Linked DNA regions of Mus musculus. The protein of the gene in region 1 interacts with the protein of each later gene in a biochemical or structural test. Links are inferred from orthologs where the notes say so. Each region holds a gene or a part of one and is shown in the gene's direction. Other genes may lie near its edges.

The links.
Region 2: the proteins of Raf1 (region 1) and Rheb form a complex in vitro, tested with the Homo sapiens proteins (3 studies listed by BioGRID and IntAct). The link is inferred for Mus musculus from reciprocal best matches to the Homo sapiens genes RAF1 and RHEB.
Region 3: the proteins of Raf1 (region 1) and Pebp4 form a complex in vitro, tested with the Homo sapiens proteins (2 studies listed by BioGRID). The link is inferred for Mus musculus from reciprocal best matches to the Homo sapiens genes RAF1 and PEBP4.
Region 4: the proteins of Raf1 (region 1) and Bag1 form a complex in vitro, tested with the Homo sapiens proteins (2 studies listed by BioGRID). The link is inferred for Mus musculus from reciprocal best matches to the Homo sapiens genes RAF1 and BAG1.
Region 5: of the proteins of Raf1 (region 1) and Bad, one has a biochemical effect on the other in vitro, tested with the Homo sapiens proteins (2 studies listed by BioGRID). The link is inferred for Mus musculus from reciprocal best matches to the Homo sapiens genes RAF1 and BAD.
Region 6: the proteins of Raf1 (region 1) and Rasd2 form a complex in vitro, tested with the Homo sapiens proteins (2 studies listed by BioGRID). The link is inferred for Mus musculus from reciprocal best matches to the Homo sapiens genes RAF1 and RASD2.

The regions. Positions count from the first base shown.
Region 1 is NC_000072.6:115,617,601-115,622,148, reverse strand, and holds the end of Raf1 (RAF proto-oncogene serine/threonine-protein kinase), read left to right. Parts: intron 1-286; coding exon 287-333; intron 334-465; exon of another isoform or gene 466-1,821; coding exon 1,822-1,940; exon of another isoform or gene 1,941-2,232; coding exon 2,233-2,364; exon of another isoform or gene 2,365-2,455; coding exon 2,456-2,590; exon of another isoform or gene 2,591-2,739; coding exon 2,740-2,883; 3' UTR 2,884-3,580; downstream 3,581-4,548. Other genes in the region: Mkrn2 (probable E3 ubiquitin-protein ligase makorin-2), read right to left, coding at 4,418-4,548. UniProt on the Homo sapiens protein: Serine/threonine-protein kinase that acts as a regulatory link between the membrane-associated Ras GTPases and the MAPK/ERK cascade, and this critical regulatory link functions as a switch determining cell fate decisions including proliferation, differentiation, apoptosis, survival and oncogenic transformation.
Region 2 is NC_000071.6:24,839,032-24,844,371, reverse strand, and holds the start of Rheb (GTP-binding protein Rheb), read left to right. Parts: upstream 1-2,010; 5' UTR 2,011-2,135; coding exon 2,136-2,187; intron 2,188-5,340. UniProt on the Homo sapiens protein: Small GTPase that acts as an allosteric activator of the canonical mTORC1 complex, an evolutionarily conserved central nutrient sensor that stimulates anabolic reactions and macromolecule biosynthesis to promote cellular biomass generation and growth.
Region 3 is NC_000080.6:69,849,591-69,854,354, forward strand, and holds part of Pebp4 (phosphatidylethanolamine-binding protein 4 isoform a precursor), read left to right. Parts: intron 1-2,037; coding exon 2,038-2,164; coding exon of another isoform or gene 2,165-2,206; exon of another isoform or gene 2,207-2,370; intron 2,371-4,764. UniProt on the Homo sapiens protein: Promotes AKT phosphorylation, suggesting a possible role in the PI3K-AKT signaling pathway.
Region 4 is NC_000070.6:40,937,680-40,942,443, reverse strand, and holds part of Bag1 (BAG family molecular chaperone regulator 1), read left to right. Parts: intron 1-805; coding exon 806-919; intron 920-3,259; coding exon 3,260-3,367; intron 3,368-4,764. UniProt on the Homo sapiens protein: Co-chaperone for HSP70 and HSC70 chaperone proteins. Acts as a nucleotide-exchange factor (NEF) promoting the release of ADP from the HSP70 and HSC70 proteins thereby triggering client/substrate protein release.
Region 5 is NC_000085.6:6,940,531-6,945,956, forward strand, and holds the start of Bad (bcl2-associated agonist of cell death), read left to right. Parts: upstream 1-2,031; 5' UTR 2,032-2,094; intron 2,095-2,336; coding exon of another isoform or gene 2,337-2,344; coding exon 2,345-2,516; intron 2,517-5,426. Other genes in the region: integral membrane protein GPR137, read right to left, coding at 562-684, 909-1,178. UniProt on the Homo sapiens protein: Promotes cell death. Successfully competes for the binding to Bcl-X(L), Bcl-2 and Bcl-W, thereby affecting the level of heterodimerization of these proteins with BAX. Can reverse the death repressor activity of Bcl-X(L), but not that of Bcl-2.
Region 6 is NC_000074.6:75,212,036-75,217,452, forward strand, and holds the start of Rasd2 (GTP-binding protein Rhes), read left to right. Parts: upstream 1-1,908; 5' UTR 1,909-2,043; intron 2,044-5,417. UniProt on the Homo sapiens protein: GTPase signaling protein that binds to and hydrolyzes GTP. Regulates signaling pathways involving G-proteins-coupled receptor and heterotrimeric proteins such as GNB1, GNB2 and GNB3.

The DNA.
Region 1 (4,548 bases):
CCATACAAATTATTTTGGAAGTGTATGGCTTGGGGGCTTTTCTGTATCCTATTACTACATTCTGTGTTCTTACCGCCCAGAAAAAAATCCAGCTCACAGCCATCCCCGGCCTCTGACAATCTGCCTTCCCACTTCTGGGTTTGTCTTGGATAGGCAGAATGTGAGGTGAAATGCCTGGCTTGGTTTGCAGAGCAAATCCAAGTTTCAATATGCAGAGCACAGTGCTACCCACCAGTTAGCTGAAGGGCAGTGAGGTGGTTAACTGAGTGATTTTTCTCCTTCACAGCTATTTGCATGCAAAGAACATCATCCACAGAGACATGAAATCCAACAGTATCCTTTGGTATTGAGTTCTCAGCTTAAGGACCCAAAAGGGCCTTTTTGCACACATGGTTCATGGTGCCAGAATGGGGAGAAGGGGACTTTTAAAGGAAAATAGAAATATAGTTGAGAAGCCAAACATGGTGATCATGAGAGTTCCTTAAGGTTTTATTATTATTTTTTTTAACCAACAGTGATCTGGAAATAATTCCTTCTGAGGCGATACACACTTGAAATAGACTTGAACTCAGCCTGGTTAGATTATCCAGAATATAGCTTGAGAAGGTTATTGCATCTATTTCTATTGAGCCTATGGAAGGTGTAAGCCTGCATACAGATGGGAAAGTATCTGATGCATGTATCTAATACCAACAAGTCATAAGTGATTGCTGCCTCCTGCTCACTTTTCAGACCAGCATAATGTCAGCCATATAGTAGACCAATGTGATATTTTGTAGAAGAGACATGAACAAGATCCCTTCAAACTAAGTTATGACACAAGGCTGGAGAGTTAAAGGTTTACTGTTGATCTTTCTAATCAAAAGCAATTGCTTCTGGTGGTCCTTATGGACAGATACCAAAGAAAAAGGCATTTGCTAGGTCAGTAGCTACACATCGTATATCAGGAAGTATGCTAATTGCTCAAGTAAGGACACCACATCTGGTATAGCCTGTCACTTTTTACAGTCCATCTGTCTTCTGTACTGGCCATGAATCACCACCCCTGCATCTTTCAAGTCTTTGATGGTAGCACTGATTGCTGCAATTCTGCCAGGGATGTGACACTTTTGGTTCCCATCCCTGGCAGAGACCCTGCTAAAGGCTTCCATTTAGCTTTTCCCAGGGGAAACAGTTTGAAGGCCCACTGTAACTATTGTGAGTCAGACTTCAACCAAAATTCCACTAATCACCTGACCTCCTATTTTTAACTCAAAGGACACAATATTTCTTAAGGTCTCCTGGAATTAGCATCTTAGAACCAGTATCCCAGAATTCCAGAAATTTCAAAATGGCTACTTTCTGTTAAATGTACAGAAGTCAGCCTAGAGGCCACTGTTAGAAATAGCATCTCCTTACCAACTGCACCTTTCATGCTGTAAGATGGCACATGGCAGGGTGGTTAAACTCAGCTGTTCTGCATGGCCAATGAGCTATGCTTATTCGGTGGCCATGACCTCCTTTCTTGAGGTCATTCTTTTTCGGCAGCTAAGCACTGGGCCAAGATTTAAGGCTTGAATTCCAATAAATCAGCAGGTCACAAATCAGACCAAAATTGCCTGTTACCTAGCAGTAAGCTGACAGAAGTCACAATGTAGACCAGTTGGGTGGTAAACCTGAGTACCAAATGTAGGCAGAGGGGATAAGCAGTGTGGGGCCCTGTAATTGAGTGTGCGCATGCCATCGTTCCCTGTCTCCTGAAAGATTTAGTAGTGAAGTGAAGGAGGCCAGAAGCACTGTTATAAACAGTATAAACTGTCAGTCTCCTTAACAAGCATCGAGATATATTTCTCCATGAAGGCCTCACGGTGAAAATTGGAGATTTTGGTTTGGCAACAGTGAAGTCACGCTGGAGTGGTTCTCAGCAGGTTGAACAGCCCACTGGCTCTGTGCTGTGGATGGTGAGGAAGCTGGCCCCACACAACATGATGGAATTACTGGGCCAGAGTAGGGTGCAAAATTTGACAGCATTTCTGCACAGCCATGGGGGTCTGGTTGATCTGTGGTGTCAGTTAGCTTAAGGCAAAACCGCATATCCTGGCAAAGCAACAGAGGCCAGCGCCTGTGGGGTTTTGTGGGAGGAGCTACCCTGGGCTAAGGACTTGAACTTCCTTCCTGACTAGTTAAAATAGCCTGGTTCCTCAATGTCTCTGGAGGTCATTCCCTAGGGATTAACACACTTCATCCTTACAGGCCCCAGAAGTAATCCGGATGCAGGATGACAACCCGTTCAGCTTCCAGTCCGACGTGTACTCGTACGGCATCGTGCTGTACGAGCTGATGGCTGGGGAGCTTCCCTACGCCCACATCAACAACCGAGACCAGGTGATCTGCATGGCCGGGCGACACAGTGAGGGGCTACTTAGTCCTGGGACTCTCCTTCACAGACTCCTTTGTTCAACTGTTTCTTCTTTAGATCATCTTCATGGTAGGCCGTGGGTATGCATCCCCTGATCTCAGCAGGCTCTACAAGAACTGCCCCAAGGCAATGAAGAGGTTGGTGGCTGACTGTGTGAAGAAAGTCAAAGAAGAGAGACCTTTGTTTCCCCAGGTTAGAGAGCTCAGTTGAAATATAACATTCTAAGGATGTAAATGTGGGCCAGGATTGGGTCGGTGGAGAGAGGACCTCCACAAGCTCTTGGTATGGTTGGGGAGATACCAAGTTTCCAACTAATGAGACCACGTGGGGCCTTGTTTCAGATCCTGTCTTCCATCGAGCTGCTTCAGCACTCTCTGCCGAAAATCAACAGGAGCGCCTCTGAGCCTTCCCTGCATCGGGCAGCTCACACTGAGGACATCAATGCTTGCACGCTGACTACATCCCCAAGGCTACCAGTCTTCTAGCTGATGATGTAGCTGTTCTTAGGCCACCAGGGGACGAAGAAGAGTCAGCAGGCACCACTTTCTGTTTCCTTGGGGGCAGAATGCATGTTTTTGGAAAAGCTGCTGCTGCTAAGGACCTAGACTACTCACAGGGCCTTAACTTCATATTGCCTTCTTTTCTACCCCTCCTGCCCTGGAAATGGAAGCTGTCCACCAAGAAAGCCTGCTCAGCTCCAGAGGTATACAAGTCAGCTGAGTATTTGTAGGGCAAGTGGCCTTGGAGAAGGTAGGGCACTCCGGCTGCTGCAGGGACATGCAATTGGGAACTTGGCTCCTTGAGCCTATATGGACAGTGGTGCAGTGCCAGTTTTGCACATGGAGTCCTGGCCACCTGGGGGAGCCTGCTTTGGTACTACAGAACTTTGTGGACAAACTGTGTCTAAGGTGTCCTGTGTGGATGGCTTTCCAAGCGCGGTGCTCCACCTTTGGCAGCCTCCCACGTGCTGAATCTGTCTTCCAGGAGCTGCCCCTATGGGGTGGGCCGCGGCCCAACCCTATCTGTAGCCACATCCTTGTCTGTAAGAAAGCCAGGAATACAGGTTTTCTTAATGATTTTGGGTTTTAATTTTGTTTTTATTGAGCCAATACAGTTGGTTCCTTATGTTATTTTAATAAAATAAATTAAATTTAGGTTTAATGGCTACTGACTCCTTCAAAACTTGCAGTGCAGTTTCTTGTGCAGACAGAACTCAAGGAGCCCCCTCTGCAGTTCATGAACAACCAAGTGAAAAGCACACAGGTAATAACAGGTTTTCTTATAAAAATAAATTCAGGTTCAGGACAAATTTGCTCTTTCTTGCCCCCAGTTCTTAGACAGAGGAGTGACTGCTCCTGTTTACCACAAAAACAAGTGTGGAGCCTACTACTTTATAGGGGAGAACAAGCAATCTGTGAGTCCTGTGTCTTGTGCTCTTAGTACAAGGGGAGGGTAAGATGGAGTCTCCCTGGAGATCTTCACAACTGCACACACCTGTGACTTGAGACACTGGAAGGAACTCAATAGCCACCCTCACAGCTGTAAAAGTCTACACTATGGTACAGCAGCACCAATATGGCCAAATGTGTTCTCACTACACAGCTGCATCAATTCCAAGGCTCGACAACTCTATTAGAGATGATCACTGCAGAGGAGCCTTCTACAGGGCTGGCGATGTCTTGGCAAGGAAAAAAAAAAAAAACCAGATCTGCTGCAAGTTTACTGTTGCTTAAGGAAGAAAGTCACAAAAGAAAGATGGCAGTCAGGTTTCATTTAAAAGCACTCAATTAAAACAGCTGGACCACATAGCTGGTCCCGGAGAAAGGGGTTGGAGGTACAACTGAGAGCTCAACTCTAAATGTAGTGATTCTGTGGACGTGGTGATCTCCCTTCCCTTCCCAGGGGGACTCACTACTGCACTCACATCCCAGTACCACGTCACCTCGGGTCGGTGACAGATGCGTCCACACCGTGCCTTGGAAAGTTGACTGCAGAGCCAAATGAAGGCGTCAGCACTGACTAGGGTTCTGATGATTCTACTCCAGAAAGGTGCATGAAGAGGTCTCCTAGCTCTGTCACATCCACATCGTCAGTGCTGGGGACTTGCCGGGTTTCTCGGTTCTCGATAAAATCCCAAAGCCGAACTGAGT
Region 2 (5,340 bases), on another chromosome or scaffold:
ATTACTAATATTCCTAGCCTAAAGCAATATTGTTAAACTTTTTGAAAGAACTCAAAGAGGGATATTTTTGAGTAGATATCAGAACACGATACAAAGACACCCAACAGGAATATAGATTTCAATTATGCATAGCATGTTGTTTGTATCCTGTTCTATTTAGTAGTAGTAGTAGTAATAGTAGTAGTAGTAGCAGCAGCAGCAGCAGCAGCAGCAGTAATAGTGTGCAGATGTGTTCATAAACTAGAACGGATATAGAGGCCAAAGAACAACCACGAGTCAGTTCTTTTTCCACTTTGGTATACACTGATCAAAGTCAGGTTGTGAGGTTTGTGTAGCAAGTGGTTTTACTGGTTGATGCAACTTGCTGAACCTCCCACCCCACTGCAAGGTAACCTTATGCTAGCTACATTACCACGGACTAAAGTGCTACGAGCTCAAGAACACTGGTGGATTGGGGCATCTGCTGAATATACGTTTAACCTGAGTCTGTTTTAAAATACTTAAGATAGTTCAAAGGGGAAGGCAGTTATGGCTCAGTTCTCTGAGAACTTGAGTTCATCTTGGGTCCAATCCCAAGCACCGAATAAACATGGTTTGGAAGTCGGTAATCCTAGCATTTGGACAGAGAAAAGAGAATTGAAAGATCAAGGTAGCAGAACAGCACTTAATCCCAGCACCTCGGAGGCAGTGACAGGTGGATCTCTAAGAATTCCAGGCCAGCCTGGACTACGTGAGACCCTATAAAAATAAGTCTATTGTGAAGGGCAAAAAATTAAGGACAAGTGTGCTGTTCTCTCTTGGCACCTTTATTTCCAGGCCTAGCCTTTAGTTTGGACTTCGATGAACTAGGCCTAGGGTCTAGCTTTCCACCCTGTTCTTCAATATGAGGATATCTCAACTCCTCTAGTTCTCTGGAAACAAGAGCTTTCTGCCTGTACGACTGTTGTAGAAAATATGACAGCCTTCCCTTTTCAGGCATGGCCCGCCCACACCAGACAGCTAAGCCTCCTCCTTTTCCTCGGCGTTTTTGACAATGGCTGACTTTCACGTTTCTCCAGAAATAACCTCTCGAGTGTTCAGTATGAAAAGACGCACTGATCTGGCTGCAGGACTCCCACGCGCGCGCCTGTCTGTGCGAGGTGCGTGCCACCCGGCGTGTTGCCCGAGTCGGCACCAGGACTGGTCAGCTCGCGCTGCTTTTAATGGAATTTCTGACATTTGCGAGCTGCACAGATTTCATTCTTCCCACAGTTCCTCAGCCACGAATAAAGCTTAGTCACCACCCACGTTAAGCCCAGACTAAAGCTAACATAGCAGGACGGTAATTTGAAGTATAGACAAGTGCGAAGCGAGGTGTCAGCCAACCTACAGTCCGTCAGCTAGGGCCACGCGCCTCGCTCCTTTTAAGGGCCGGCAGGCGCAAGTCGGCCAACGGCTCAGCACTTCACCAATCACCGTGCTTCACGCCTCTGGTTCCGCCCCCGCACCCACATTAGCCAATCACTGAGGAGTTGCCTGCCCGCCCGCCCACCCGCCGGTAGGGCCACGCTTTTGGACCACGCAGGCGCCCCGCCGAGCAAAAGCAGACAGAATTTATTTTTAGCTCCCCGCTGAGCGGCACCTCTCCTTGGCTCCACCCTTCCAATCCCCAATAGAAGACGGAGTTTCCATTGCGTCATCGCGCGGCAGTCTGGGAGCCGTCCAGTCAGAGCTCGGGCAGGATTGTCGTAATTAAAAAGCGGCGGAAGTAGGTGGGAGGGTCATGACGCAGCGAGTTTCGGTCGTGACTTTTCCGGGGGCTTTGGGGCGTCTCCGCTTTTTCCCTTTAAAGTAAAACGTTTCCCCGACGCTCCCCCGCGCGTTCCGGGCTGGGAGGCGGCGGCGGGAGGCGGCGCAGACGGGGCCGCGCGCGGTCACGTGGGTGTGTTGTTGGGGGAGGGCCCGCGCGTTCGGTTCCGGGCGGTTGAGCGAGCTAGAGAAGGAGCGAGCGAGCGAGCGAGCGAGAGGCAGCCGCGCCCGCCGCCGTGCTCTGTATGCCGCGTTCTCCCGGCGCAGCCGCCGCCGATAGTCTGAGCCGGAGGAGCCGCCGCCGCCGCGGTTAATGTGGTTGGGTCGGGGCTGAGCAGGCCACCAAGATGCCTCAGTCCAAGTCCCGGAAGATCGCCATCCTGGGCTACCGGTCTGTGGGTGAGTGGCGGCCCGGGCGATGTCGGGGCTGAGCCCCAGGACGCGGACGCGCCTGCGAAGTTTGTGGCGGCGCGGCCATGTGGCGGGCGGGCGGGCGGCGCGCGTTTCATAACCTCCATTTTGAGTGGAGGCGGCGGCGCCTTCCCCTGTCCCCAGGCGCGGCGGACAGGTGGCGGGGCGGCAGGCCGAGGCGGCCGCGTCCTTCCCTCGGCGTAGGAGCCGCGGGCCACTGCCCGGGAGTCTTGCGGCCCGGAGCAGCCTAGTCGGATCCCCGCATCTGTCCCGCCTTCTCTAAGCACGGTCTGTCCCCACCCGTTTCCCCAATCCCACAAGCCCCGGGCATTTCAACAAAGGAAACCTCTCCTTGTGACCTTTCCATCTGCAAAGAAGTTAAGCCTTTTAAAGAAAACAGGGAAACTTCAAGACGTTTGGCTACCAAGTTTTCCGCCTCCAAGAAACCTAGACTGGACCCCTCACAGGCCAGCTAGGTAGCATCTGGCAGCCAGCACAGGGAAGAGGAGAAAGACGTCTCTAATGTGTCCTATTTTTCTTTTCCCCTTTGAGGAGAAACAAGGCCAGGCACTTGGAACCAGGCTGTTAAAGTAATTCAAAAGCCCGTTTGTTTTCCTAACACCACCACCAAGCGATTGACATACATTTAAAGTTGTTCCTAGTAATCACCTTTTTGCCGAATAGAGGTGGTCCTGGGTGGGGTGGGGAGGGAACGCGGTGTCCAGACAGTAGTATTCAGTCCATCGTGTGATACAGGACATTTGAACTTAACCACGCTGCAGGGTGAGGCTTTATTGTTTTTGACCGACCGGAACAGGGGACTGTCACGTTCATCTTTAGTGCTGTTTGAAAGATGTAACTGTCTCCAGAAAATGTGCGTTTGACAGGGACCACTGAGGAGTGGAGAGTCTGGCAGTAGAACACCTTCCCCACTGGATGGGCTCCTGCTAGGCGGTTCATTCTGCGTTCTCACCCTGCTTTCCACTGCTGGTGCCCGGCTCTGTGCTCTTTGACCAAGATCAGTCAGGGCCTGCTTACTTTTCACCTTCTCTCCTCAAGAACTGGAGAAACTCCTTAGGAAGGGAATGGAAGATCGGAGACAGTGTGACAGATGGGAGTGCCTAGAGTGGAAAGGTGACACGTGCATAGTGCAGTGCTGAGGTGTTCATAGTAGGAAAGAGTAGGTGACTGCTTTAACAATTGCAACCCTAGAGTTAACAGGCACAAAATTACGGTGAATCCATTCACACCAAGATAGAACTCCTGATGTAACCAGTGTTGGTTGTCTGAGTCACCATACTGTTTTCTGAATTCCCTCCAAATTTGGAGAATGAGACCATGATGTAACTTGGCTGTTGATTGAGTACCCTCTAATCAGATAACTAATTGAAGATAGTAATCTTGAATGCAAGGCATAAATAAGTCACAAGTATCAGGGTTACCTGTTTTCAATGCAAGAGAATATTCTACCAGTCTGGATTTTATTGTAATTTTTGAAATGGCAATGGGTTTAAATAAGTGTAGTGTTATGTCTCCTTTGCTAAGAACTTCTGTCAATAGAAAACCATCCTGATTTTTTTAGGCAAGGTCTTATGTAACCCGGGTAGTCCTCGACTCACTGTATAGCCTAGACTGGTTTTCCTGGGAAAGCCCCACTAGAGCCAGGATAGATGTGTCTGGCTACTCCTATCCTTCTCACAAACATTCACTCTGGGCTGCTGGTTGTAAGTGTAGTGCTAGCCCGGGGAGGAACACAGGATTGTAGACCTGTATGCAATGCCCTTGGTGTGTTGCAGCCTGTATTCTCTATACTTGTTTTCAAGTGTAATGCCTAAAGTAAGATACTACATTATTGCTAATGTTGCATTTAACTTTAGTTTGCTTTCATATGAAGGACATATTTTCTAGTTTCTGGATTCTTTGTAGAGGAGTAGTTGGTCTTTTCAGCATGTACTAGCCACTCTTCTGGGAATTGACCACTTATTAGAACTTAGAGATGTGTGTGGTGGCAGACTATAGAAATTTCACTGTTTCTAGATGTGGTGTGGTGGGGATTGGCAGCCATGTCCTTTTTTACTGTTTTCTTGCGTAAATGCTGTTTTCTGTTCTGACTAGACTGCTGGGCATTGTTACTTGATGATGCCACAGACTTTTAAGTTTGCCTTCAGCAAAAACTGAAATGTAATTTTTTTTTTCATTATTAGGCTTTCAAGTCAGTAAAATTTCCTTCTGCAGTATTTTCCTGATACTTGCAGTAGGGAAGTTTTATGGACATGTCACCTGTAATTCAGTCTGGCTTTTATGGAGGTCCTTTTTGTTAATTTTGGTGGTGGCCATATGTAGCAGTTTCCTCATGGTGCGTTGTTGTTACTACAGCTGAGTCCTTAGTGAGGACTCCTCCAGTCAAAACTGTCAAAAAAGTAAACTGTCTTGCGTCTGGTAGTCTCTCTGGAATATCTTCCAGAGTGTTGGTAATCTAGTTTGTCATTAGATCATCTTTCCAAAAGCTTATTTGTTGTGTGTATTCCTTGTATTGCTAAGAGGGACGAGATCACAGGGATGTGGAAGTTTATAAAATGAAATGGTTGTGGTTTGGTGAGTGGCAGTTCAGCAAGAGTAGATGAGTCAGCCGGGCATGGTGGTGCACACCTTTAATCCCAGCACTTGGGAGGCAGAGGCAAGTGGATTTCTGAGTTCGAGGACAGCCAGGGCTACACAGAGAAACCCTGTCTCGAAAAAGAGTAGATGAGTTAGACCTTGTCAGAACACAGCTGATGCTGTTGGATTCTTCCTAGGGAAAGGTTGGTACCTGACGTGATTGACTGTTCCCCGTAGAATATAATCACAATGGATTCTGACCCATTCAATTATCTGTCCCCGTAGAACATAATCACATTGGATTCTGAACCAATCAATTATCTGTCCTTTTCTAACATAATTTGTTTGAGAAATGTGGTGAGGGATAGGATGATAGCTTAGTGAGTAGGGTACTTTCTGTTTAACTGTGAGGACCTGAGTTCCAGTCCCCAGAACCCATGTGAAGTTGTACAAGACAGTGTGGTGGTGGGGACAGACTGGAGAACTGGGGCTTACTAGCCACCTGCCTGTCTAGAAAATGGAGATCTTGCCTTTCAGGTTGAG
Region 3 (4,764 bases), on another chromosome or scaffold:
GTTTCCCCGAGTGCCTGCCACATGCAGACTGTCTCTCTTTTGTCTGAGAGATCCCCCTCTATCTTGCTAGCTGCAATGAACAGTTGTAGAGGCAGAAGTAAGCCGAATAGTCTTTAGAGTGCTGCTGTGCATAGAAATGAAAAAGAAAACCCATCCCTGCCTGGTGGTGGTGGCGCATGCCTTTAATCCCAGAACTCAGTGGGCAGAGGCAAGCTTATCTCTGTGAGTTTGAGGCTAGCCTGGTCTACAGAGTGAATTCCAAGACAGCCAGGACTACACAGAGAAACCCGGTTTCAAAACCAAAAAAACCCAAACAAAACAAAACAAACAAACAAACAAAAAACCCCCAAAACAAAACAAACAAACAAAATAAAAAAAGAAAGAAAAATCTATTCCCAAAGATGTCTTCGAAACTGCCCAAACTTTGTCACCCCAAAAGAGTGTTGCACACGTGCAAAAAGTTAAGAGAAACAACTAATACTCCTGCAGTGTTGATTTGGACAATTCATACTGCTCCTTCCACTCTCTGGAAGGACAGAGACCAAGTCTAGGTGGTGGGGGTGCCCACCCACCAAAGCACACCATGTGTGGTTTACCAGCTGCTCTGGACCCAACTGCCTCTCTCCAAATTTGATCCTGGAGCTACTGAAAGCACTGAGGAGCAGGGGCTGGAAAAAGGCCATGTGGGTCTCGCTAGGAGGCTACCCTTGGCCTCCTCTCAACTCCTACAGGAACACTCCTGAAGATATGATCCTCAAATTACATTCTCCCTGGGTGTCCTTCAGGTATAACGCCAGCAGGGCATGGTGGTGTAAATAGCCATTGTCTATTTAGGGGCTAGCTCAGCTGTGTTGGGGTACCGGGAAAGGCTGGGAAACACAAGCCCTGGTCTCTGTGTAATAAGAATATTCTGACAAGCTCAGGCACGGTGTCCTCATAGGCCCAATTCAGTCAATTTTCTACTCCATTGGCAGGTTCCACATCTGTGGGTTCAGCCAGTCCTGAGTTGGAAATGTTTGGGCCAAGGGACCACCTCTGAATCAGGCCCACTCACACGTTTCGTAAGCCAAACACTTAGAAGGTACACTGTCACAATTGCACAGCTCAACCCACACAGCTTCCTATATCAGCAGGTATATGAACACAAGAGACCAAGAGCAGCCTGGGCTGTATAGGAAGTCCCTGTCTCAAAAAGAAAAAAGGAAAAAAAAAATGGCAGAGAATATGGGAGTGTAGCTCAGTGATAGAGTGCTTTCCCAGTATGTACAAGACTCTGGGTACCACACATGTGTATATGCATATACACATGCATACATAGGGATATGTATGCACATACACATGCATACACATAAACACATATACACATGTATAGACACATATGTAGATATACACCCAAGTACACACATAGTATATGTGTACTTGTATATGTGTATATATTTATGTATGTGCATACAATTGCACATATACACACACACTATATATATGCATACACTTGCACACACACATTGCTTCAGTATTGGGCAAGTACAGCTCTTTGTTTACACTTCCTAAAGGGTACTACCACACAGCAATTTTGCTGTATGCATCATAAACACTACAGAAATGAGCTGACTACACAGAAAGACATGTGTGTGTGTGTGTGTGTGTGTGTGTGTGTGTGTGTGTGTGTGTGTGTGTGAATGCAGACATCATACCACTTTCTTGAGGGATTCACACATCTGAGAGTGAGTCGATCTTTGGCATACTAAGGATGACAACTCATAGCATGCTAGGCTTTGCTCTACCCACTGACCAGTGCTGTGTCCTCACACCAACCACATGAGGTAGACACTGTCCCTGTCTCAGGCAAGTAGACCCTGGGACAAAAGCATCGGGTCTCAGTCCCACAGCTCTGGGGTCACACAGCTGGTTGGTTGTCAGGTTTAGAATTTAACTCCTCTCAACTCTGCATGCTCAGTGGTGCTGGACTGCAGTAGCCTTGTGAACCCCGGGATTCGCTGAAACCCTGACATGACGTGACTGCCCCTCTCTCCGTAGGAACCTAGAAGTTTTCTACATGGAGATGGGGAACATCAGCTGTAAAATTGTTCCTAAGTGCAATCTATACAGACAGAAGATCACGGCCTGGCAGGCGCCGATAGTCAAGTTCCACACGGCTTTGGATGTGAGTGAACTGGGTTGGCTGAAGGAGAACGTGGGGCCCTGACTTGCCTTTAGTTCACTTTTCTTGGGAACTTGGAGGGCCAGGTTTGCAGGAGTCAGGCAGCTATTGCCTGGAGTGGTGGTCAACCTCCCTAATCCTAATCCTTTATATAGTTCCTCATGTGGTGGTGACTCCCAACCATAAAATTACTTTTTGTTGCTACTTCATAACTGTAATCTTTACTATAGCTATGAATCATAATGTAAACATCGGATATGCAGATGGTCTTAGGTGACCCCCGTGAAAAGGTCATTTGACAAGCCCCCAAAGGGGACGTGACCCACAGGTTGAGAACCACTGGCTTGGAGGTTGTGTCTTTCCTACGGTGGACTCATGGCTGAAAGCTCTGGATTCTTGAAGTATGCAATGTGTCCTTCTGGTGTTTGAAATCATCTAAAACAGGACACCAGAGTCTTTTGGGAACTGTGACTACTTCTTTTCCTGGAAAATAACTTTGATACCTGTTCTGGAAACTTCCTTGGGCTCGAAGGTTCAGAAAGCTTAGGGACAGACCATGCAAACGGGAAAGAGGGGAAGTTTCCGATTTCATCCTTCTGGTTGTTGTTTTCCTCTTGTTGTCTCCTGGCCCAGACAGAGCCCACAAGGCATCAGTGGCTGAGGCTGGGGTACCAGTGTCCAGAAATGACATGGCAAGTCACAAGTGTGGGTAGACAGAAGGTGCTGACCCTTCTGTGCAATAGGGCAGGAAGGGACTACAGGGTTCTTTCTCCTCCCCAGTGCGGCCCCAGAGGCCCCGTGCCACCCACCCTGATCAGGCAGATCAGACCTGGCAAAACAGGTAGCCAGGGAAGCAGCATCACCAGGGTTGCTCATGAGGGTGGGTCTGGCTTGTCTGTCTCCCTCCAAGTGCTTTCACTACTGGAGATCAAATGTGACGCCTCCCAGTTGATGCGGCTGATATACAAAGCTGTGCTGGCTTACCTGGGGTACAACTGTGACACTACACACCTTTCCAGTGGGCAGTCTTCCCTCCAGGACACTGAGCAGCAATACCCCCTCCCCCACTCTCCCTCCTCGCTGAAGACCTCAGCCAATGTCATGCCTAGGAACAGAGTCAAGAGGAACAGAGAAAGGACAGCTACTGCTGCTACACTGGGCAAGACTCCAGCCCCACCCCACTCCCACCCCGGCCCAACGTATTCTATGGAAACCCAGCATAGCCCTGTAGGGTGAGACCTTTGTCTTCACCAAAATTTATTAGTTCATCAATCCCTGGGGAGTCGCCAGCTCTGTGTTGCTATTGCTGCAGGGGCCCACTAGGTGGAGCTGTAGACTGCCAAGTTCCTGACCTCCCCTGGAGGGAGGAACTGGAGACCAGTTCTGAGTCTGGTTTCACTGAGTTTACACTGATGTCCTGGAGCATGCATGCAGAAGAGAGAAGTGTGTGTGTGTGTGTGGGGGGGGGGAGGGGTCTGCCTCGTCCAGAAATCTATTGTCTCAGCCTGCAGGTGAAGGGTAGAAGTGAGAGAAAAGAGGCTTAACGCTACCAAGGAGAATCAAGACTCACCAAGGAAGGTTTGGTGGAAGCAGAGGGCAGAAAGAAATAGGAGTTTTGTGCTAGCACAGATCTAATGCTTTCTGAAAAATGTAAGACTCAGGGGAAGGTAAAGCCAGGGGTACTGAGAAGCTTGCACTGTGTGGCACTTGATGCTGGGCCCTATTTATGCTGTGGGTCCATTCAATTCTGTCATCAGACCTGTGAACAAAGCATTTGCTTTTGTAAAGGGGTTAGTGGTAAGTACCAGGATCCTTGCTGGATGGTGTTGCTAGTGCCCAGACCAAACAATGGCTTCCATTCTCTCTGCTAGATCCCCAATGGAATGTCAGGAGCTGCTTGTGAGAAGAAGCAGGGAGAGGGGCTGCGGTCCGGGGGTGGGGTGGGGTGGGGGGGAAGCAAGGGTTGTTCTGATGTGTGTAAAGACCTAGCGGTGCTGAGCTGGGTGGTGGCAGTGCTAGGCTCAACACTAGAACCCTGGGCTCTGGAGGCCAATCACTCCCAAGGGCTCTGAGGGGGATTTGAGGGAGGGGATGCTGAAAGCAAGCTCCTCTGGTGAAGACGGAAAGGAGGGTGGGGAGGACAGAGGGACTGTCCTTAAAGAAGGTGGCAGTCTGCCGGAGCTCCCTTGAAGAGTTTCAGGGAAGAGGCAGCTGTAGCGGAACAGGTGGAGGCAGAGAGGAAGAGGTGCCATATTGGAACAAGGTACCTAGAAAGCCAGGCGTGGGTAAGAAGGGCTCGATTCTTCAGCTAGAGGAGGAAGTTATTGCCTCAGAGTCCCCAGGGTTGATGGGAAATGGTAAGAGTTGGCACACGGCTTAGCGGAAATACCACCTCATTTCCAAATTTAAGTGACCAGCGTTGCTCAACTGTCAGGGGACTTGCCCACCCCCCACCCTGCCAAGCAAGCCCTGAAGCCTTGGCAGAAGTATGGGGCAGGCCTCTGTTGCCCCATCTCGGGGGTGGGGTGGGGTGGGGGTGGGGAGTACCTGCCTTTCCATACCACTGCACAGGCTTCTCCCATCTTTGAGCTTTGCTTCCACCT
Region 4 (4,764 bases), on another chromosome or scaffold:
AAGAGTGTTGCCGTCATCGCTATCCTGTTAAAGAGTAGAATTCAGCTGGAGGGTGACATTTCCATTTAAAAGAATTTAGTCATGAGCCAAGCCTGGGGAAGATAGAGGCAGCTGGATCAGGAATTCAGGATCGTCCTCCCATTACATAGTAAGCTTGTGGGCACCCTGTGCTATTTGAGACTCTGCCTCTCTGGAAAAACAAATGTCATGCTGCTGGGTGTGGTAGCACATTATCTGTGATCTCAACATTTAGGAAGCTGTGGGATAGAATTCTGTCTGTCTTCTCATTCTGGATGCCTTCGTGGTGTTCACTTGAACCTGGTTACACTGTACTTTTTTAAAGATGTATTTATCCTATTTGGGGTATACTGGGATGCTGCCTGTGTTGGTATGAGTGCACCGTGTGCTTGCCTGATGCCCCGGGAGGCCATAGAAGGACAGGATATGCTTGAACTGAAGTTACAAAACATTGCAAGCCACTGTGTGGGTGCCGGAAGCTGAACCCAGGTCCTGTGGAAGAGCAGTGAGTTTCCTCTGGTCCTTGCTACATTCTAATCTAGCTGCTGGGGTTGGGGTCAGCACCGGGCTGAGGCTGAGGCTGACACTTGGATTAGCTCCATTCTCTGAGCATGAGTCCTCAGGAGTCTCACTAGGATGCTCGCTTGGCCTTCCTTCTCCCTGGGCTGGGCTTTATGGATAGGAATCCTGTTGTCTAACCCTTTGACTTGCTTTCCAAGAAGCACAAGAGGTTGGCTCAGTTGTTTTAGGTGAGCAATTACTGACCTCGTTTTATTCTTTATGTTAGAGCAATCCAGAAGAAGAGGTTGAGTTAAAGAAGCTGAAAGATTTGGAGGTATCTGCAGAGAAGATAGCTAACCACCTGCAAGAATTGAATAAAGAGCTTTCTGGCATCCAGCAGGTGACTTCTCTATTCTGTGGATAGAGTGGTATGGTATTGTTGCCTGGTTGGCTTTTTAAAAAATAATTTATTTCATTTTTAAATTATATATTAATTATGTGTGAGTCTGCCTGGGTCTGTGTTGGAGTAGGTGGATGTGAGTGCTGGTGGCCAGGAAGACACCCCCCACACCCCCCAGAGCTGGGGTGATGTGAGGTGGTGAGCCTCTAGATGCTGGGAGCAGAACGCAGGTCGGCTAGTAGAACAGTACACCTTCTTAATCTCCGAGCCATCTCTCCAGTCCTGTTTTGTGTTGTAATTATAAAATTAGTTTGTGATGCTTACACAAAAGTTTTATATGTGCGTATAGATAGATTCAAGCCGAGGCCTTTCACGTCCTAAGCTCAGCTCTGCTCTCACTGTGCTGCTTTTGTTGTTGTTGTTGTTTTGTTTGTTTGTTCGTTTTTTTGGTTTTTGTTTGTTTGGTTTTTGTTTTTTTGTTTTTTTGGTTTTTCAAGACAGGGTTTCTCTGTGTAGCCCTGGCTGTCCTGGAACTCACTCTGTAGACCAGGCTGGCCTTGAACTCAGAAATCCGCCTGCCTCTGCCTCCCAAGTGCTGGGATTAAAGGCGTGCACCACCACGCCCGGCTCTTACTGTGCTTCTTGTGTGCAGGTCTGTATGTCTGACCCAGAGATGCTATTACTCTGAAAAGTATTTTTCACCTTATTTAGTTAAAATATAATATGCTATACATTTGGTAAATTGTTCTTTTACTGGCTAAAAATTAACATTTTCCTGTGTTGTTGAAAATGGTCATATTTTCCTGCATGTGAATATATCATGGTTTACCTACCTTAGTCTCTGTTCTCTGTTTTACCTGATTTTTTTCTCTTACTGTGCTGCTGCTTTGAGTGCCCTTAGACAGGAGTCCTTTTTGAGTAGTTGTGATTGTCTTTGATAGAACTGAGTTTGGATTTCTGAGTAATGTTCGAACTTCTTGCTGTGTGTTTACAAATATGCCTTTGTCACTCTGGTTTGATAGCCATCTTCAGAAATTCCTGCTTTTCAACTCAGCCACCCGCTAACTGATCACTAGGCAAAGAAATGCAAATGAACAGCAGGGTGGTTTAATGACAGTAAGTGCTACCTCAACCAGGTGTGGGCTTGTACACCGTAATCACAGCTTTTCTCAGAGCAAGAGACGGGATCAGTTTAAGGGCAGCATTGACTATGCAGTGAGTTAGAGATCCTGTCTCAAAACCAAAGCCACAATAATACCGCCATCCTCTGTTATCTTGTGTATCTATCTGTGCCATGAGTTATGTGAGCATCTACACATCTGCCGGTCAGCATCCCATAATCTGAGATCAGTGAGACGTGGCAAGTTTAAGGAACTTGCTTTAAGATCTTAAGCCAAAGTTGGGAATGTAGCTTAGCTGATAAAGTGCTTGCCACACAGCATCAGGACCTGGGTTCAGATTCCCAGCATCCATGCAGAAACTGGGCATGATGGCACACTGTATAATCCCAGTGTGGGGGAGGCAAAGAGAAGAGGGCTGGATCCCAGCTGCTCACTGCCCAAACAGTCTAGCCAAATTGGGCAAGCTCCAGATTCAGTAAAAGACCCTGTCTCAAAAAATAAGGCAGAGTCTTAGTCAGTGAAGAGGCGCCGTGACCACAGCAACTCTTAAAAGAAGAAAGCGTTTATTTGTGGCTGGCTTAAAGTTCAGAGGTTTAATTAGTCCATTATCATCATGGCAGGAAGCATGGTGGCATGCAGGCAGACTTTGTGCTGGAGAGGTAGCTGAGAATTCTTCATTTCAATCCACAGGCAACACTTAGAGAGAGACACTGGGCCTGGCTTGGGCTTTTAAAACCCCAAAGCCCACCCCCAGTGACACATTTCCTCCCACAAGGCCACACCTCCTAATCCTTGTCAAGTAGCACTACTCCCTAGTGACCAAGCATACAAATATATGGGGGCCATTTTTATTCAAACCACCACACAGTGTTTGGCAAAGACACCTCACGCCAACCCTTGATGCACTGTGCCCAGCTTTTCAGTCTGTTCTCTTAATGTCTGCTTCTTATGTGCATGTATGCACCTGTGTTGAAGGCTGCACCATAGTTCCTCAGGGGGCATTCATGCCTCAGTGGACTGTGAGAGAAAGAACAGTCCACACCCTGGTAGTATTCTTAGTCTGGCCAAGGCAAGCATTTCTAATTTTCCCAGGGGATGAAGGTCTGAGATCTAGCCGGGCTTCTTAGATCAGTGGTGAACTCTGGGTTGCTTCACCAGTCTATTGGCATGGTTTTCCATGAGTCTCAAACACTTGCAATAGTGCCTTATTCCTTCTCAGGGTTTTCTGGCTAAGGAATTGCAAGCGGAGGCTCTCTGCAAACTTGATAGGAAAGTAAAAGCAACAATTGAGCAATTCATGAAGATCTTGGAGGAGATTGACACAATGGTAAGTAAACATTCATATAGAGGTACTAGCCTTTTTATTTACTTTTAACGTTTTATTTATTTATATATACAGCGTTCTGCCTGCATGTATGCCTGCAGGCCAGAAGAGAGCACCAGACCCCATTACAGATGGCTGTGAGCCACTATGTGGTTGCTGGGAATTGAACTTAGGACCTCTGGAAGAGCGATCAGTGCTCTTAACCACTGAGCCACCTCTCTAACCCCAGAGGTACTTCTCTTTAGTGGCAGTATTTCAGTCTATTTCGTTCTGTCAGTATTACACTTGTGTTACCTGGGAAAATCTGTTGCTCGGGGATGTCAAACATCTACTGTTATGGGCCAGGTACTGTGTGTCTTAGTTAGCTTTAACTGTCATCTTAACACAGCCTAGAGGCACCTAAGAAATACGTCTCAGCTGAGGGATTACCCAGATGAGCGTGACCTATAGGCACACTGGGGCAAGATGGGTTTGGTAATTGATAGAGTCCATTATGAGCTGCATCTGCCCCAGGCAGGTGGTCCTGGGCTGTATAAGAAAGCCAGCTTGGAGCCAGGGAAATGGTTCAGTGGTTACAAGTACCAGTTGCTCTTCCAGAGAACTTGGATTTGATTCCCAGAATCTACAGTACCTTGCAACCCTCTCTAAGCCGAGTTCCAGGGGATCCAGTGTCCTCTTCAGGCCTCCTCAAGTCCCAGGCAGGCGTGTGGTATAGATATACATGCAGGCAAAACACCCATAAAATAAATAAGCCTTCCGCCGGGTGTGGTGGCACACGCCTTTAATCTCAGCACTCGGGAGGCAGAGGCAGGCTGATTTCTGAGGCCAGCCTGGTCTACAGAGTGAGTTCCAGGACAGCCTGGGCTATACAGAGAAACCCTGTCTCAAAAATCCAAATAAATAAATAAGCCTTAAAATGAAGAAAGCTCAGCGTGAGCCCGAGTGAGCAGCAGTGCTCCTCCAAGGCCTCTGCTTCATGTTTCTGTTCGGGCTTCAGTGATCATGGGCTGTGACCTGCAAGTGTAAGCCAGATAAGCCCCTTCCTCCCCTAATCGATAGTGTTTTATCACAACGACAGGGAAGAAACAGGTAGCATGCTAGGCTCTGGGTGTATATGTGGACTTTCTGATCTGTAGGCATTTACAGCCCACCAGTATGACAAGAGCATGTGTGTGTGTGTGTGTGTGTGTGTGTGTGTGTGTGTGTGTGTGTGCGAGTGCCTTTGTTTTCTTAAGGCTCAAGTGGCTGGTGTTGCAGCTGAGCTAGTTTTTCCTACAGACTTCAACTACACCCAGATCTTGGGAGGCTGTTGACTCACTGACCCAAATTTTCTTTAACTTAAGATAGTAAGGGTGTCAGTGGCCTGATACTTCATTCTTGAGAGTGAATTTCTCTGGACT
Region 5 (5,426 bases), on another chromosome or scaffold:
GACAGGGCAGCAATAGAGAAGCCAAAAAGGCAAGGGCCCCAGGCGGTTGGCCCTGGGAGTATCTCGGAAGTAGAAGGAGAAAAGTGTGGTACGCAAGGCTGCCCAGAGCAGACAGAGCGCCAGGAATACTGTCTGATAGCTGAGGCGCTTGTGCCCATACAGAAGCACCAGCCAGAGCTGGGCATAGACAGAGAAGAAGAGCAGAGCATATAGGGCAGTGTAGGCAGCGGTCAGCCCCAGGGTCACTGTAGGCGGCAGTGCAGGTACCAGCCCAGCTGCAGGCACCAGACCAGACAGGTTACTCTCCATGTCAAGGAGGGAGGCCTGAAACCCGGAGACAGAGATAGAGGGCTGGCCAGAAGCCAGGGAAATAAATACGGAGGGGTGGGACCTGCAATAGGTGGTGAGACCTGGAAACTCTGGAAAAAAGAAGTTGAGGTTGTCAGGCCTTTCCTTCTCAGCAGAGTCGGGCGTGGGGGTGGGGGTGGGGGTGGGCACGGGTAACCTGGGCCCTGGGCCCTAGACCCGTCACTCTGGAGTGTATAAAGTGGTCTTTCCTACCCAGGGCAAATGAAATGGGGGTTGGGGGTGTCCCTCCCTGGGCCAGCCCCAGAGCCAAGATGCGAGGATGCAGTGGCACAGAGTCCCTGGCCTTGGTTGCTCGTGTCCGGCTGGCAGGAGGGGGAGAGCCGGCCGATGCCCGTCAGCTTAGGACAGCGGCCGCTGCGGGGGCGCCCAACGCCCCGCTCTCCCCCTCCCCAAGCTTGGTTCCTCTTTCCCCTCCAATAATCCGGATTGGGAGGCTTCTTCCTCTGTCCTCAAGATTCCAGACGTGTTCCCCCACCGCGTCCACCCTCAGCCCCGGTGAATAAGAGGAAGTCGATGTCAGGTCTCAGGCCGCTGCGGGGTAAGCGGGATCCGGTCGCCGGGACACCGGGCTCCAGCTCCCCGGCTCCCTCTGCTCCGCCCCACTCCTGCGCCTGCGCGGACGTCCGTTCGCTACGTAAACTGCGTAGCGACCGGCAGGGACTCCGAAGCCATGCGCCGCGCCCGGCGTGCATCTCTTCGAGAATCGCCGCAAGGTGCGCTGCCGGCGGGTGTCCCGGGTTACGGATGGCGGCGGGCGGCCGAGAGTAGAGCAGGCCGCACGCAGCAAGCACCTGGGCTACCAGTGCCATGGACCGCCAGCTCTTAATGTTTGGGGACTACCATTTCCCACGCTTAGATTCCCAAATCCACATCGCGTTCGGCGTGCCCATATGGGGGGCGGCAACGACTTCCCCGCACAGGGTCACTGAAGGAAACTTCCGCCCACAACCAAGATGGTACCCGGACCCCGCCCCCTAGCTTCTGTCTGCAGGCCCCGCGCTCCGGCCCGGGGCAGCGTACGCACACCTATCCTGGCAGCAGAGGCCCCTGGAGCCCCACGGCTCGCCTTCCTGGGCGCCCCGTCCCTTCTTCCGCACCCGGGCGGCCATCCTGCCGTAAAGGAGCTCCCGAAATGGCGCGGGGGGTTGTCCCCAAGACGGGCAGTGCAAGGCCTCCACGATCGGGAAGAAGGAGCTGGTCTTCCCATCCCGGTCACTCGGTCCAGGGGGAGCAATAACCATCGCAACGACCATTGCATCCGACGGCCGAGCTTCAGTGAACGGCTCTATAAGTAATCACTAAGCTGTTTACAGAGTTTTCACCAGCTCCCCAGGGAGGTGTCATTAACCCCATTTTACAGGAGGGAATTCGGGCCCAGAAGGGCTGGAGGACTTATCAGCCGAAGCAGGCCTCCAGGATCCAAATGGGAACCCCAAAGCAGCCCTCGCTGGCTCCTGCACACGCCCTAGGCTTGAGGAAGTCCGATCCCGGAATCCGGAGCCTGGGGAGCGACGCGGGAGGAAGGCGGTGGAGACCAGCAGGTCGGCGCAGGGGTGGGACCTGGCTTGGGGTGGCCCCGCCTCCAGGCCGACCCGGGATTTACTTCGAAAACTGATTGGGTCAGATCTGTGACAGTTCTCGTCGCCCAGGAAACTAGGGCCGGGCGCCCTTAGAACTGGAGGGAGGAGGCAGGCCCGGGTCAGGGGCCTCGAGATCGGGCTTGGGGTGAGACCTATTCCCGGTCCTAACGGGCAGGGGGAGCGCACTAGTGTCTGGACAGAGCTCTGAAGAGAGATTTAATATTCGGGCGACAGCCAGGCAGACTGAGCAGACAAATGAGGGATTGGGAAGATTTGGGGAGTTGAGCTACCGTGGTGGGAGAGGGAGACAGGAGTACCTCTCCTCTGCTTCTCATAAACACTGTTTGCCTAGCTGTGTAGTGAGTACTTCTTACCTTGTCTCTACAGCCCAGAGTATGTTCCAGATCCCAGAGTTTGAGCCGAGTGAGCAGGAAGACGCTAGTGCTACAGATAGGGGCCTGGGCCCTAGCCTCACTGAGGACCAGCCAGGTCCCTACCTGGCCCCAGGTCTCCTGGGGAGCAACATTCATCAGCAGGGACGGGCAGCCACCAACAGTCATCATGGAGGTAGGTTCCTCACTACCATTATCTGCCTGTCCCATGCCCCCTGACTCTCAGGTGCCCCTTACGTTGCTGTTGCAGCCATACTTCCTAAAGATTCTTGGGAAGCCCCAGATAGCTCCTTTCATCAGATTGCTTCTTCTACAAACCATCACTGGGCTAATTCACAGAGATGTATGGTATGCCCTTAATGATTAAGCTGACTCACTGAATGCTGAAAACAGACCCCCTTATTATGTCCCCAAGATCAGTGGGAGGTAAGCAGAGCCCCAAAGAAGTGACTTTTCTCTTTATTTATTTATTTATTCATTTATTTATTGTATGTGAGTACACTGTAGCTGTCTTCAGAAGAGGGCATCAGATCCCATTACAGATGGTTGTGAGCCACCATGTGGTTGCTGGGAATTGAACTCAGTACCTCTGGAAGAGGAGTCAGTGCTCTTAACCACTGAGCCATCTCTCCAGCCCAAGAAGTGGCCAGTAGGTCCGTTCGTTCGTTCGTTCTTTCTTTCTTTCTTTCTTTCTTTCTTTTTTTAAAATGATTATTTTTTGGTTTTTCAAGACAGGGTTTCTCTGTGTAGCTCTGGCTATCTTGGAACTCACTCCTACAGAAAAACCAATAAATAAATAATAATAATAAAAACTAATAAAAAAGGAAGAAGAAAGCTGAAGGTTAAAAGAAGGGATGGGGGAGGGGACTGGAAAAATGGCTCAGTGGTTCAGAGCATTTACTACCAGGCTGGCCTTGAACTCAGAAATCCTCATGTCTCTGCCTCCCAAGTGCTGGGATCAAAGGCGTGCACCACCGCCGCCCAGCTCAGTAGGTTCTTTCTTACTCTATGGCTCGCCTTCAGCCCGACTATTCTTGCCCAGATGGGACAGGCAGGTGACCCTAAGTGACAAACAAGAGCCGTGTGAAGCTGGAAAGTGTGAGTGAGTGCCAAGATGGAAGGAGAGGCCTTGGAGATACTGGTTATACTCCCCACTTCCCATTGCTGACCCTGTATAGCCAGAGAAATCTGAGCTCAACCAGGTTTGTCACTGGCTCCATAGAACTTAACTTATCCCTACCCCCTCATGTATCCCTGGACTGTCTCAAACTTCTATACAGCTGAGACTAGCCTTGAACTCCTGATCCTCCAGCCTCTACCTACCAAGTACTAGGATCACAGGTCACCATGCCTGGCACTCCACTTCCTTTTTTAAATTATTTGTATATGTATGCCCGTGTAAAATGCACATGTGCAAGTGCAGGCTTGGAGTCCAGAAGAGGGTGTTGGATCCCCTAGAGCTGGGGTTACAGGGGGCTGGTGAGATGGCTCAGTGGGTAAGAGCACCCGACTGTTCTTCCGAAGGTCCAGAGTTCAAATCCCAGCAACCACATGGCTCACAACCATCCGTAACGAGATCTGACTCCCTCTTCTGGAGTGTCTGAAGACAGCTAAAGTGTACTTACATATAAATAAATCTTTAAAAAAAAAAAAAAAAGCTGGAGTTACAGGTGGTTGCTGGGAACTGAACTCACATCCTGTGCAAGAGCAATAAATGCTCTGAACCACTGAGCCATTTTTCCAGTCCCCTCCCCCCATCCCTTCTTTTAACCTTCAGCTTTCTTATTCCTTTTTTATTAGTTTTTATTATTATTAATTTTTGGTTTTTCAGGACAGGGTTTCTCTGTATAGCCTTAGCTGTCCTGGATTACTGTGCTCAACCAGGATGGCCTCAAACTCAAGAGATCCGCCTCTGCCTCTCAAGTGCTGGGATTAAAGATGTACACCACCACTGCTGGGCATATCTCCAGATTTCTTTTTCTTTCCTTTTTTAAAAAAGTTAATTAATTAGTTAATTAATTAACTTGTTTACTTAATGTGAGAACATTGTGGCTGTCTTCAGACACACCAGAAGAGGGCATCAGATTCCATTATACAGGGTTGTGAGCCACCATGTGGTTGCTGGGAATTGAACTCAGGACCTCTGAAAGAACAGCCAGTGCTCTGAACCCCTGAGCTGTCTTTCCAGCCCCACGGATCAAGTTCCCCATGGCTGGGACTCACCTTGGGGCCTGGGAAGGCCTTGTTCTGCTTCAGCCTCACCATGAGCTCCACGTGCAGCTGCGATCTGCAGAGGTGGCTGTGGTGGGTCTGCCTGGGAGGGCAGCTCCTCAAAGTATAGGCAGACCCCACTTAGCTGCAGCAGCTTGTGGAGGAAGGCAGGCGGCTGGTGCACGTCCACAGGTGGGGCCTGGCTGGGGTCCCGCACTGCTTCGTCACAGTACTCCAGTCTGCAGAGTGAAGGGCCCGGCCTTGTCCAGACAACCCCAGGCTAGAAGCCCCCTCTTTAGAGCTGTCCCAGCAACATGGAACTGAGGAACCTGGCTTCTGTCTTGTGGTTGAGGGGTGTGCTGGTCTAGCCCCCAAAAGAGGAGCTGCCTTGAGTATTACATCTACTCGGTGCTTCAACAGGAAGGAGGTGACAATTGGCTGGCATCATGCTAGGACAAAGTGACAGGGTCTGGGATGAGAGACTGGAAGGAAAGGTGGGGACACTCATAGGAGGAAGGGCAAGCCTGAGGTTTGAAGTGGGGGAGGGACACTGACAGCTTTGCAAACAGCTTTAGGGAGCGCAGTAGAAGCAGGGCCTGCTGCTGGGAGGAGCAGAGGTGTACCCCAGCTCCATGAAGGAGAGCTGCTGTGAATGAAGACGACCAGGGCAAACAGCCATGGGGAGGGAAGGTAGCTGAACGTGTGTCCTCTTTGCTTCCCTCCCATCCCATGCTAGGCAGAGACAGACACTCCCTGGGCCAGTGTGTGGGGTGTGTGTGTGTGTGTGGCAGGTGGTGATGGAATTCATAAACATTTGATTTACTTTTCAGTGGTCTCAAATGCAGAACTGGGTATGGTAGTATATGCCGATAAA
Region 6 (5,417 bases), on another chromosome or scaffold:
AGATACTTTAATGTTTGATGAGCAACCCATTTCCTGTGTTTTAAGCCCAAGGCCATGTTAACGATTTTGTTACTCAATGGACTTGGCAGTATTGATGCTCATTCAAAAATAACCCAAGCATGGACCAGAGACTTCCACAACTGGTCCAGGGAGGAACATTTGGGTGGTGAGCGACAGAACTGGAGCACAGAGCTCTCACCCAGGCTTTCCTGCCTATGACACACACAGCTCCCAGAGAAGGCTGTCCCACAAAGGAGACATTCCCTATGCGCAGGACCAGGAATTGAAGGGAACACAGCACCTACTTCTTTCTGGTCCACCTAAAGGAGTCCGTAGAAAAATGTCTGCTTTGGGCGAAAGAACTTCCACCCCTTCCAAGCCTCGCCCGCACATCTCCCTGGATAAAGGCAGGCTCCAGCTGCAGTTCAGAGGCCTTGCTTTGTTTTCGGGCTTGTTTTATACTAACCTTCTATTTATGGCCTGGGACACAGGCTTCCCATGTAAGGCAATGACATTAATGAGACTGAAAAATGTGTTGGGGGTAGCGGGTCTTGGATTAAAGAAAACATTAAGAAATATGTGGCCCGTGGAAGCAAGAACGCCTGATGTCTGGCTTGGTTCAAAGCGCTCCCTAGGATAGCACGCTCTGGCTCTGTCAGGGACGGGAAGACTAGGTCCCACCAAGCCAGAGGAGGTCTCTCCATAGAGTTCACTCTGAGCTGCTTCCATTACCCAAGGTGATTCAGGGCCCCTCGTGGCTGCACGTGTGCCGCCCATGTGCTCCGCAGGCCAAGCGTTCGCAATGGAAGCCGCGGCCTGGACCGGGCTCCCGGCGAACGTAGGTGGGCATCGGAGGGGGTGGAGGTTCGCTCAGGGCGAGGTTGGGAGGTCAGGAGCGGGTTCCCACAGTTTGGGCTGGCTTGCGGGCGAGTGCGTGCTCAGTGTCAGCCTCCCAGGCCCGTGCCTTACGGTCTTCCGGTCACGGTGCGCGTGGCCGAAGCCTCGGGATAGCCCTCCTCCCCCGCGGCCCCAGCCCCACGCGCCCGGGCACGCGTAGCCGCAGATTGCCGCGGCTCCTAGACTGGGGTGGGGCGGAGGCGGGACCTGGCCGCGGGACCCGCCGCTGATTGGCTGCTCATGGCGGGGGCGGGGTGCAGGCGGCAGAGCCCAGGCGGCGGCGCTGGGCAGGTGGGCTCGGGACGTAGCGCGCGCCAGGGCCCGAGGTAGGCGTAGGTTGCGCATCTGGAGCCCGAGCTTGAGCCACCGGGAGAGCACGAGGGAGGAACCCACCCTAAGAAACTTCTCCTCGCTTGGGGAGAGGAGGCACAGTGCGGAGCGACGTGGGCTTCAGGCGAAGTTGGAGCTGCTGAGCTTCGGGGCGGCGTTCGAGGCCCCCTCCCACTTGCGCGCTGAGCGCAGCTAGCGGCGTCGGGCGAGGAGCAAGCGGCGGTCCTTTCCGCGAGGGTCGGCTGCCCGACTGAGGGCAGCCGGGAAGGACGGCCCGGCGCACAAACCCCTCTACCCTGCACGCGGCCACCCGCTTTGCGTCCAGAGAAGGAGGTAACGTAAGCTGCCAGGCGGGTTCGTAGGCCGATCGTCACCCCCAAAAGTCCTCCTGAGTCTCCGGGGTTCGCTTCTATATCCCCGGAGTCGTGCCCCTTCCCCTTCAGCGCGGAGCTCCAGGCGGGGGCACCCCGTACTGGACGTCCCCAAACCTTCGAGCACCTGGCTCAACCGGAGTCCCCCCTGTCGGGGCAGGGCAGGGCCGCCGGCGGCGAGCCGGAGCCAGCCCAGCGCCCCAGCCCCGCCGAGCCCTCGGAGCCCACCCATGGGTCATCATCCCCTGATCCGCGGGCCTCCTCGCCCTGTCGCGCTCAGCCCAGCTCCGGGCGCCGCGCGCAGGAGGATCCGTACGCAGTGACCCTGGAGCCCCCGCAGACGCCGGGAGACTCAGCGGTCGGAGCGGCAGGCGGCTCCCCGCACCTCCAGGAGCTTCCAGGGAGCCCTCCAAGCCGTGCTCGGGGTCCGTCCCGCTGTTCTCAGGTAAGGGAGACATCCCAATAGAACAGGAGAGGTAGCTAGGTGGAGTGGGGCAGCCGGCTCAGTAGAGGGACGCAAGCTCGGTGACGCTGGCATTTTATGACAAAGGAAACTTAAACTGTACCCTCTACGTGCTGAGATGCTTTATACACGTAGAGCATTAAGCTCACTAGATGCCTAGCCTACTACCTCTGGTGGTCTTTAGCCCCTTACATAGCGTAGGAAAGTGGATTTATTGAGCTCTTGTGTGCTCCGTTTGTCCCTGGGAGCTTTCTTTTAGACCAAGAGACAGTCCACTTTAAAAGGAGGAAACTGAGACTCAAGAGGAAGAGGCAGTTACCCTCCCTAGATAAAACCTCAAGCAAGAATGATCAGGGGTCCTTTAACCTATCCTAGCGTCCCTTGAGCTTTGGAGCATTTCCTGCAATGTTTCCTTGCTACCATGGTTTCCTGAACTCAAGTGGCCAGTGTGTGGGGCCTCTGAGCCACACTCTCTTGCCCACCTCTGCCACCAGTCCACGAAGGATGAGGAAGGGTATTGGATTGTCCTGGACCTCCTGGAAGCTAGACTAGGGTCTGGAGCAACGACCGGCTTTGGACTCTCTGATTCAGGTTCCTCCTAAGCCTCAGAGGGACAAAAAAGAGTCCCTGCAAGTCGTCCACGGGGCTGGGAGCAGCCGGGTGGCTCATGACTACTCAGAGAGACTGCCCAAAGAAAAGAGTCTTGTATTGGAAAGGTTTCTGGGTACCTGACCGTGTTGCGTTTGTTTCTACCCAACGTTTAACAGAGAGGTGAGCTGAGTGCACAAACCAGATCACTCAGAGGTTCTGTGCTGACACAGCTGATCATCCAGAAACAGATGCCCCCTGTTCTCTGCCCTCCTGACATCCCCAGGATGGGAAGGGTGGCTTTGTAAAGCTCCTGAGACTCCCCAGAGCCTAGGGGAGGAGTCAGGACTACAGCGTGTCAGTCCTAAGAGGCTTGGGATGTGCACACAGGTGTGGCAGGTAGTGTAGTGAACCTGGCTCTGGGGTGCACCCAAGGAACTCATCCTGACCAATCTGTACCTGTTCAGCTCCCATCAAGCACTGGGGCAGACACAAGGGTGAATGGCCCACAGTTGCACTGCTTGTGAGCTGCTGGCAGGGTATGCAGAGTCCTGGGCAGGATGCCACCCCAGCTGCCTAGAGGGAGAGAGGAAACAGGACTATAACATGGATCACAGAGTCATTCCCTGTCCAGTGCCAACTGGGGCTCCACTGAGTCAGAGCTATTAGGAGAAGACTAGTTGAAGCCACTAGAGGGGTGGGAGTGGTGTTTTGAAGAGGTGAGATTGGACTCGGGCAGCCACTCAACTTTCCTGAGAACTAGAGTCCCCATCTGTTCCTGCAGAGCGTCTCATAAGAATAAGGCAGCCCCAGCATGACATGCCTAGGGATGATGGGCACTATTTCTGGGGACAGCCCCACTTCTATCTTTGAGGTACCTTCCAGCACTCTGCTTACATCCAGGTCCCTCTTCATACATTCAGTTCCCCACTTCTCTCTAGACCACCAAGGTTGGCTGCTGGGAAGGAGGGCCTGCCCCATGCTGTCTGTCCTGCACTCTGGGGGGCCACCTCCCACCATACACATGCTTTTCTGTCCAGGTCACTGTGGCTGTGTCAGCCGCCCACTGGCAGTTCTTACATGTGGTGGAGGTCTGGTCCTAAAACCCTGATGTCCCCACTGAATGCATACCTGTGAGTCTGTGCTTTGGGGTTGCACTGCTGTGCATACAGAAGGTACTCAATAACTGATCCCTGACATGAGAGACATTGCAGATGCTTCTGCAGGCTTCAGGCTTATTCAACCCTTTCATTCCCCTGCCCCAAACCCCACTCTGGCATTTAGGATTTGTCTTTGCCCACTGTGGAGTTAGCCAGCTGAGGAGCAGAGTGAGATGGGCAGGTGGCAGGGGAGACTCTGCCTACAGGGCTTTAGGGCTTCCCTCAGTCTCCTGTGGAGGTGGAGCCACAGATGCTCTGTCACCTGGCTTCCAGGTATCTGGGTGCCTCACACTGCCCCACGTGGCTGAAGCCATGTGAAAAGACTAGGTCTGTCAGCAGAGAAAGCCATAGGTTCTCCTCGCCTGTCTCCACCCCTCTCTGATCCTCCGGCTCTTATTTCTAACTCCATGCCGCACCCCCTCCCTCCGTGAGTCTTCTGTTTTCTCTCTTCCTTCATTCCTGTCTCTCCCTTCCTCCTCTCTCTGATTCCCTGCTGCCCTCTGACTCTGCCTTGTTTCTCTGACTCTCTCCTTTCATTCATTGTGTCTTGGGAGGCCTGGCTAGAAGCTGGGACAAGGAGACATCCCTGGGGTCTGCTGGCTCACTCCTTGTCTTCCATCTAATGAGAGGCTCAGCAGCCCTCCTCCCTGCAGAAGGACTGGGTGGGCGAAACTAAGCCATAGGTCTCCGGTGGTTTCTTCTCAGCACAGCAGCAGGAGCCAGACAGGTAGACTGGGTGAAGGGAGAAGTCCTCATAGCCAGAGCAGGTTGAGAGCAGGCTAGTGAGAAGTTTGGGTGAGCCTGATGCCTGCAGAAGTATCTGCAATGTCTCTCATGTCAGGGATCAGTTATTGAGCACCTTCTGTATGCACAGCAGTGCAACCTCAAAGCACAGACTCACAGGTCAGTTCAGTGGGGGACATCAGGGTTTTAGGACCGGAACTCCACCACATGTAAGAACTGCCAGTGGGCGGCTGACATAGCCACAGTGACCTGGATAGAAAAGCATGTGTATGGTGGGAGGTGGCCCCCAGAGTGCAGGACAGACAGCATGGGACAGGCCCTTCTTCCTGGGACCTTGGCGACTCTGTGCTTCAGTGCCCTCATTGTCTGCCCCCTGGGTCACTGAGGGATGGAGCAGATGTATGCCTGGCACTCAGAGCCCCGTGATATATATTAGCTGCAAAACAAATGTCAGCAGTGTTGTTGTTCTATACTTAGCGTGTGCTTGGCACGCTGCTGGGCTTGGCCCAGGAATGATGGTTCCGGTGCCAGGCCTGGGGTCCACAGTGTGCTGAGCTGGCCCATGCGTGTGTCTCTGACGTCCATTTTTGGAGGCCATGTTTCAGGCTGGGAGCTGGGAGCGTTTACATTGTGGAAATTGACAAAGGCTACCAAACAGGGCTTTTAGGAAAGGTGAAGGGTGTCAGGCTGGCAGGCATGAGCAGAGTCTGTGCATACCTAGAGACTTGCAAACAGGAGGATGTCACTCAGCCCGAGAGGCCATCTCAGACCCTGGTCTCATGGTAGGTCTGATAATGATAAAAAAAAAATGGCTGAGGTATCCAGATGAGGCTGTGGTCTCAGTGAGTACAGTACCTTTGTGCA